Linked DNA regions of Drosophila melanogaster. The protein of the gene in region 1 purifies or fractionates together with the protein of each later gene. This does not show direct contact. Each region holds a gene or a part of one and is shown on either strand. Other genes may lie near its edges. The genes, in order: Fib and wcd.

Region 1 (4,557 bases):
CAGCCTTATTGAAGTCCGCTCCATTTGTCACTGATATCTCTCCCTGCATAATTCTATGCTGATAAGCATCTGAATTTCTGCAAAGCGATGACAGTAAATCACTAGATATTTGAATGCAGAAATATGCAGTTCAATTTCTTCAATACCACAAGTTTTAGTTTAATTGATAGCTGCTCTTCATGACATGTGCTCATACTTCTATATGTAAACTATTAGCTTAAGTGAGAGCGAACTAAAAAATAATGTATTGCTACATTATTTTATTTATTTATGTATTAAGCTAATAATCTTTATGGATTCATTAGCCCCACGTGAACGAAACTCCAATTTTCATTAAGAATGGCTTAAGCCGAGACACCACCCCGTGAATAGTTCTTGGTTCGTGTCTGTATAAATGGTGCGTCATACCTGGCGAAGATAGGTGAGGGGGGTGCTGAAATCTATGCTTCATACCAAATAGGAACTTTGCCACCGGGGCGACACAGTTGCGGTGTCCGAGTGGTTAAGGAGATGGACTTGAAATCCATTGGGTTCTACCCGCGCAGGTTCGAATCCTGTCCGCAGCGCAGAACTTTTTTTATTTTTTATTTATTGTGAATTTGCAGAGGGTACTAATAGCTGACCTTAATATTTCTTTGACATTTCATTGTTAAGCATTATACTTTCTGTGATGAAGATGAAAACAAACTAGTGTATACCAGCCTTGCCCAACCATTTTCCGCAATACCCCTCAGAAAAACCACGTTTGTACAAAGATTGACTTTAAAGATCTTCATCTTTCATAGGAACTCCATATTGTTACACTGGCATTTGGTTTTTGTGTATATTTTGTACGTCTGCTACAAAAATAATGTGCATTTTGATTTATCTTTATAACTACGGTTTTATATTTAAAAGAAACTTAATACAACTCGTCTGTATTAGTACAATAGCCTTAAAACTAAACCCAGCAGAAAACGACTTCTTACTGCTTGGGCGGTGGTCGGTAGACGCCAACGACAACGGCGTGGTCTCGCTCGTAGGGCTCCAGCGTGAGCTGCTCTTGGGGCTTCAGCTTGTCCGCCTGCATCTTCTTCACCTCGGCAGCGAATACCGCTTCGGGCTGCGCCGTCGAGTCGATGCAGGAGGCCTTGATCGAGATGACAAAGTGTCCGCCGTTCTTCAGGAAGTGCTGGGCATTCAGCGCCACAATGCGGCCCTGATCCGGCTGGGCAACGTCGGCGAAGATGGTGTCCACCATGCCCACCAGCATGCGGTACTTGTGTGGATGGCGAGCGTCCTCGATGATGGGTATGATGTTGGTGCGCTTCTTGGCCACGTTGATCAGATCGCGACCGGATCGGTGTGAGAACTCCACGGCGTAGACCAGGCCCTCGGGTCCCACCACATCGGACACATGCGAGACTGTCGTTCCGGAGGCGGCGCCCAGGTAGAGAACCTTCGAGCCCGGCGGCATGTGAATCTGCTCGACGCCACCCAGAACGGCGGCAGCCAGCTTGGAGCGGAAGGGATTCCACACGCGGTACTCAATCTTCTCGCCATTGGTCTGCAAAGAAGAACAGATTTAAATCCATTGCTCTTTCTTAAAAATTATAGCAGAAAGCAAGAAGTAAGTAAGTTGAGTGAAATACAGAGTTGTTTGGATTGTTCAGGTAGCTTCAAATCACTTTTCAAGATGGTGGACTTGTTTGGGTTCTGTTTGTTTTGGGATAGAAGGGTAGATAGATAGGAATTCGCCTCAGTTGTGCATTATTCTAAGCAGCCCTTGGAGCTCCGCGACTGCTTCACGTGCACCTGAAGTGCACACAGCCACAGGTGACCGCCAAGGATGCTCATGGCCACATGATGCCATGTTCTGTACCCCTGCACAACCTCATCATAAGCTAGGAATAGGGAAGGTAAGTGAATAAAGATGAGAACAACAAACCTCAACGGAGATGCGCTTCTCGCCGTAGACTTCGGATCCAGGTACAAAGTTCCTGGTGACCAGAGCGTCCTCCTTGCCGCGCGCAATGAACACTCCCTCGTGACGATGCGGCTCGATGGTGACGGTCTTGCCGCCCTTGAAGCCGCCAGCACCACCACCACGTCCTCCTCCGCCGCGACCACCGCCTCCACGGCCGCCGCCACCGCGACCACCGCCGCCGCCACGTCCTCCGAAGGCACCACGGCCGCCGCCGCCACCACCACCGCGACCACCTCCTCCACGGCCACCACCGAATCCTCCACGGCCACCGCGATCGCCGCCGCCACCGCGTCCACGGCCGCCTCCAAATCCACCGCCTCCTCCGCCGCCGCCGCCACCACGCCCACGGAATCCACCTCCTCCTCCTCCGCCGCCGCCGCCACCACCGCGTGGACTGAATCCTGCAATAGAAAAGATCCGCATTTGAATTTCGGTTGACTCAGAGGTTAAGTTGGAGACTATCAAAAGCAAAGGCGACGCCTGCTTCGATTTGTATCGTTAGAGCGTGATTTTACGCACCTGGTTTGCCCATTTTATGTTGCTGTACTTGCACTTTTTAATACAACTTTCGACGAAATGTGATTGAGTCCGTCAACACGCGGCAACCAAAACGCTTGAAAAGAAAAACACGTGTGTGCCGGAGTGTGGCCGCAGCAGTGATTTTAGTGATAATATACAGAAGTACAAAGGCGAAAATACCAAGAGAATGATGTTAGTGTGTGTGTTAGGTGGGAAACTTGGCTGGGACTGTAGCTAAGTTCAACACCAGGCGGAGAGGCAATTGTGCATAGTGGTACAAAGGTTGAAAAACTGTACATTTTATTCTTGGATATCTTGCAAATAATGTAATTCTTTTTTTTTTGTATTCAATTCAAAAATTGATTGATCAATTAAATTATTGATTGATTTATTAAATTAATTTAATTTTTATGAGCCACTACATTATTATATTTTACTTATTTGATGCATGTAACTATGGAAGTATATGATTAATAATTACAATCCCGTAGTCCTTGACAATGACCCCAGTGCCTTGGAGATCTAGTGTTCGTTGACCAAACAAACAGCCACTTGAAATCGATGTTTGAGAAAAACGTTCCATTCCGCTTTGAGAGTTCTAGTTGGGAGCACACACTTTCTGAAATTGTTAACGCATAAATCCTGCTGTTTTACCTAAACTTTTGCAAACATAATGGCCTTCCGCTCGGTGGTTACGATGGAGAAGCCGCTCCAGCACATTTCGCTGACGGACTGGTATGCCCGTGTGAACCAGATGCGGAATGTGGCGGATGCCCGGAGGTCGGACGCCTTCGCCATCCGCCACTCATCCCGATCCTTGAGGAACGAGACGCGGATCGAGGGCGACTGGGCCAACTACGAGACAAATGAGGCTCTGACCGATCGGTGAGTGTCCATATCTTATATTAAGATTAACAGCACGATTAATAATCTGTAATTTATACATCAGCATCTCCGAGTTGAATCGCTGGCGGGATATCATTTCCAAGTCCTTCGAGAAGATCGAGCGCGAGATATTCATGCTGCAGGAGGAGAAGAATGCCACGGAACGGGAGCTGGAGGCGTTGGCAGGTCCGATTTCCGTGATAGCCGAGTGCCTGACCATAAGGGACGGTCGCCTCGGATCGGAGATCACCTACGATGAGGCCGACACCGAGATCAAGAACGAACTGGTCGTGCTGGAGAACAACCAGCGCCTGCTGGCCGATCGATGCCAGAAGGCGTGGGAGAAGCTCAATCGTCTGGAGGAAGTGCGCTTCAAGATCGGCCTGGAGATCGAGTTCAAGGTGGAGGCGGTGCAGCTGGACAACTCACAGCTGGCGCTCGATCGCAACTCGGCCAATATCTCATACAAGCCGGATCCCACGAGAAATCCCAAGAAGTAAGTCACACATGGAATGTCCCAGTAGCTCAGTAGGATAACTAACCAATCACTTAGCTCCTGTTCCTACGAGTCCTGGCTGGAGAACGTGAAGAACATAAAGCTGCTGGCGGAGAATGAGCTGGCCGACACGTACGCCATTCGGGAGGCTTTGTTCGTGTGCCGCGAAAAGGCGCGCAACATGCTGCAGTCGCAGCAGGAGCGGGCGGAGCACACCATCCGCAAACGGATCTTCGAGACGCAGCGGGCCAGAAACGAACTGGAGTGGCAGCAGCTCAAGATGAAGGAGGAGATGGAGAAGGCCATGTGCGAGATCCGCACCTCGGAGAATGCGCTGCGTGACAAGACGGATGCACTGAAGCTGGCCGAGACACGCCTGGAGAATCGTGCCCAGAGGTCGGGCATGGAACTGTGCATGGACCAGGCGCACGACATGCTCTGCTTGGAGGTGGAGAAGCTGCGAGAGATACGACGCCGACTGCAGGTCAAGATCGACGAGAGCAAGACCAACTTTAGTCTGCTGGAGGAGCACGGCAAGCGAATCGACGTGGATCTGGAGAACAAGCAGCACTCGCTGATGACGGACATCAGGGCCCTGGACTTGCGCATGCGTCTCCGGGGCGGCGAGTTCGGCTCCAAGGTGGCCAACGCCTCGCAGACGGACAGGAACATAACGCTCACTCGCATGGAG
Region 2 (4,220 bases), 6.7 Mb from region 1:
AATGACAAGTTCAACAACAACTCGACATTGTCGACTGGTGACGAGGACGACGTGCTCCGACATTTGTTTGCCCAAGTTATGCAAATATTTTTCCAGTCAAGAAGTTTTTGTTTAATTGCATATTTTGACTCGCATTACGCGTGTCATAAAGCAGGGATCCGGAGCTTACCACAATGCCAGAAGTTGGGCGGGGATTAGAGGCACTCGAAAGACATGTTCCTGCATTTTACAGTTCAAAGACCAAACTAAACAATCAGTTTTACGAGTATAGATCTTATTCTGCCCAGGCTTGCCATTGAACTATAGCTATCTTCCTTAGAAATTAATTTAAATTAAATTTATATTTAAGTCTCTAAGATGATATTTTAAAAATAATTCCTAACACAGACGAAATCATGGAGAAGCCTTTAATATGGTTCATAAAACATAATTTATTTGCTGCGTTCGAAACTGTGAAGCTGACCTACTTCATTTAAAAACGAAATTAAACCGAATATATATAGTATGTATACTTCTGCTTTAGACAGTAAAAATGCATGAAGATTGTTTGCTTAATTGGTTAAACTAAATGATGGCTAAATATATTACCACCTCATTTATGGTAATCCGAATAAAACGTTTAATTTTTTTTTGGAGGAAAGCGTTGGATTCGAATTTCATTGCCTGGACAAATTTAAAAAGTTTACATTTTTGAGGCATACCTATCGCGTATACGCTTTCTTTCTTTTCCAGCCCTGACAGTTTCCGAGTATCGAGTATCGAGTATTACTTTCTATCTTTCAATGACAATGACCGGCGACTTTCTCACTTTCTTCGTACGCTTCTTACTGGCGAAACACAAGAGCCCACAAAGGATTATGACAAGTGCTGGCAACTGGATTTCCGAGGAGCTGGAACCAGCTACTCTACTGTCGATTCAGGAGGATAATGGTATTGTTACCAAGGTGTACGTGGCGCCCTGTTTGCAGCCGATAAAAGAGGAGAAAGTTTTCCTGGAGGACAACACGCAACGCTTCCACTGTCCGCTTTGCTCTAATGTGATTCGCACGGCCGGTGCCTACAAGGTCCATCTGATGGCCTGCCAAAGACGCTTGGCACGCATGATGAAGGATGTGCCGGACGTGTCCCAGCATCAGTGCAACATTTGCAAGAAAATCTTCTCCTCGGTGGATGCCCTGATCGGCCACAGGCTCCTGCATGGAAGCCCATCAATGAATCGCACCTGTGCATCCTGCCATGTCAAGTTCGGGACGGATCTGGAGTATCGCACCCATTTGGAGAGCCATCTGATACCGTGCGAGTCCACGGATGAATCCTACGAAGGGGCGTACACCATCACCAAGACCTTCAATTGCGTCTTTTGTCGCACGGAGTTCAAGGCCTGCTTTAAGCCTGGCCAAGTGACCCGTCGATACGCGTGCGACGCATGTATCGTAAGGCTGAAGGCCCAGGAGGAGGAGAAAAAGATCTTAGGGAAGAGAAGGCCCGAATTAATCTGTGATCGTTGTGGGAAAAAGTACAAATATGAGGGTTTCCTTCACCGTCATCTGAAAACTTGCCAGATGCCGGATAAATGCAAAAGAAAGCGTGAGATTGAAATCACCGAGGTCAGCGAGGTAACATTTACAGAAGTTGTGCAAAGTTTTAATAATTGATTATACAAATTCGCACATTTTAATTTTAAATTAAATAAATATATTTTTTAATTGTAATATTTTTTATAATTTTCAAATTATGGCGCCCATCCCACCGATATCTATTTCGATCTGCTATCGATGTGGTCACACTTATCGATAAATCCACCGTGGCGTGGTATTTTTGATTTAAAGCGTTAGTCGATTTCCCGCCCAGCTGCACGTGTATATTTTTTTGCGGTCCAAAGAAAAGTTCGTAAATAAACGAATTTGCGTGCATTTCCAGCGAACACGATGAGTTCAGACGAGTCCAGCGACGGTTTGGAGGAGCTGCAGAGTCTGAAGGCCCTCTACGGCCAGCAGGAGCAAGAGAAACCGGCAAAGATCAAAAGGGAACGTTATATTCCAAAGGCCTCGCAGGCCAAGGAGCTCAACTATGTGGAGGTGCCCATGGAAAAGGTGCTCTTCGGCGACAGGCAGCGACTGCTCACCAATCTAGCCAAGTCCGTGGGACAAAAGTTGCCGAACGATGACGAAGACGAGCAGGAGGAAAATCCCGGCCAGGCAAAGCCAGGCGACAAGCGGAAAGCCGCCTGGTCGGATTCCGATGACGAGGACCTGCAGGTGGGCGATGTCAAGAAGGCCACAAAGCACACGGGTCCACTGAACCACCTGCGCAAGGATAAATCGTACAAGGAGTATCTTACGGCGCGATTCCAGCGCACGCTTAACCAACCCAAGTGGGCGGAAAAGAAGGTCAAAAATGAGGACGACGAGGACGTATCCTCCGACGAAGAACTGCTGCGGACGGTTGGCTTTATCGATCGTAAAGCCCGGAACAGTGATCTGCCCCAGAAGACTCTGAATTTTAAACGGGTCAAAGACCTGAACAGGGCCACATATGCCGAGGGTAATGCCACCAGCATTCAGTTTCATCCAACCAGTACTGCTGCTCTAGTGGCGGGCATGAATGGCCTAGCCACCATCTACGCCGTGGATGGGCAAAAGAACGAAAGGTTGCACAACATGCGCTTCAAGAAGTTCCCGCTGGCGTGCTCCAGAATTGCTCCATGCGGCACAAGGGCGTTCTTTGGTTCTGTGAAACCATTCTACTACTCCTACGACTTGCTGGAAGCCAAGGAATCGAAGCTAAAGCTGCCGGGCGCAATGGAATTTATGCACCGCTTTGAGGTGTCTCCATGTGGCAAATTTATCGTCACTGCTGGCAAGTTTGGAGCCATTCACCTGCTCACGGCCAAAACAAATGAGCTGCTGCACAGCTTCAAGCAGGAGGGCAAAGTGAAGGGATTCACATGGTCTAGTGACTCCAAGAGGATCCTCGTCTGCGGTTCCACTTCCAATGTCAGCGTGCTGAACCTGCGCCAGAACCTCATCGAGCACATCTTCATGGACGACGGCTGTATACATGGAGAGTCCATTCAACTGTCTCCCAACCAACGCCTACTGGCCACCGGCAGTCAAGAGGGCGTGGTCAACATCTACGACTACGAGAGCATTTTCGCATCCAAGGCCCCACAACCCGAGAAGCGCTTCATGAACCTACGGACTGCCATCACGGATCTCCAGTTCAATCACTCATCTGAGCTACTGGCGATGTGCTCCAGTGAGGCGCCGAATGCTTTTAAGCTGGCCCATTTCCCCAGCGCCACTGTGTACTCCAATTTCCCGGCACAGAACGAGAAGGTTGGCTTTGTGACCTCCATGGCCTTTTCGCCGCACAGCAGCTTCCTGGCCTTTGCCACTAAGGGCAAACAGGTGCCGCTCTTTAGGCTTAAGTACTTCAAGGGTTATTAATTGAAGGCAGTATGATGTTTACAATAAATTCTTAAATAAAATCATTACTCTTTCTGTGGTTACAATGGAACCATCTTTATTTAAGTTAACAAATTAAGGGGACTTATCTTTAGAAAGGAGCTCGGAAAATATCGCGTTTCTGGGAGTCTTGAATCTTGCCAATGTCTTCCAGCTTCTTGCTGATGTTCGTCGACTGCGATTCGATCCACTGCAACGAATTCATATGGGCATTAAGGATTTTTCCGATCTGTATGATGGGATCAGTGGTGTCCTGGCCCTTGTTGGCCTCGTTCAAGTTGTCTATTATCTCCTTTAGATCCTCGGACATCTGCTTCAGTTGTGTGTCCAGATTCTCCACCATCAGGTAGGTTTGGCTGCGTTCCATGTCCACCCTCGGGAGATTAACGAATTCCTTCTCAAGCGGTCCCAGGCTGTCCTCAAGCTCTTTTTGCTGCGTGGCTATAAACTCCAGCTCCTGGTCCAGCACTTGCTGATCGGTTTTCACTTTTTTCACGGCATCGTTGAGCTCGACGATCTTCCCGTTGTTGCTGATGAGCAGTTTGTCCCATGCGTTGATCTGAGTGGCCTGTTCGGTGAATACCTTTTCCTGTTCCTCGAACTCGAGAGTCCACTTGTTGATATGCTCCTCAAGTTGGTGGTAGGACAATTGGGATGCCGTGGAAACGGCCGATGAGTCTGTGGTCTTGGTTTCGGTAGTGAGATTGGCAAAAGCACCACCAGTACTTAAAGTTGGGGCCGGTGCAGCTCCCT

What was found.
Region 2: the proteins of Fib (region 1) and wcd purify together in Drosophila melanogaster (affinity purification with western blotting; one study listed by BioGRID). This does not show direct contact.

The regions. Positions count from the first base shown.
Region 1 is NT_033778.4:23,072,097-23,076,653, forward strand, and holds Fib (fibrillarin), read right to left. Parts: upstream 2,630-4,557; 5' UTR 2,499-2,629; coding exon 2,486-2,498; intron 2,368-2,485; coding exon 1,928-2,367; intron 1,873-1,927; exon of another isoform or gene 1,733-1,872; intron 1,547-1,732; coding exon 965-1,546; 3' UTR 813-964; downstream 1-812. Other genes in the region: CG3085 (uncharacterized protein), read left to right, coding at 3,159-3,370, 3,435-3,866, 3,924-4,557. UniProt on the Drosophila melanogaster protein: S-adenosyl-L-methionine-dependent methyltransferase that has the ability to methylate both RNAs and proteins. Involved in pre-rRNA processing.
Region 2 is NT_033778.4:16,345,104-16,349,323, reverse strand, and holds wcd (wicked), read left to right. Parts: upstream 1-1,823; 5' UTR 1,824-1,928; coding exon 1,929-3,449; 3' UTR 3,450-3,486; downstream 3,487-4,220. Other genes in the region: CG15710 (uncharacterized protein), read left to right, coding at 858-1,655; Nup62 (nucleoporin 62kD), read right to left, coding at 3,559-4,220. UniProt on the Drosophila melanogaster protein: Component of a nucleolar small nuclear ribonucleoprotein particle (snoRNP) thought to participate in the processing and modification of pre-ribosomal RNA.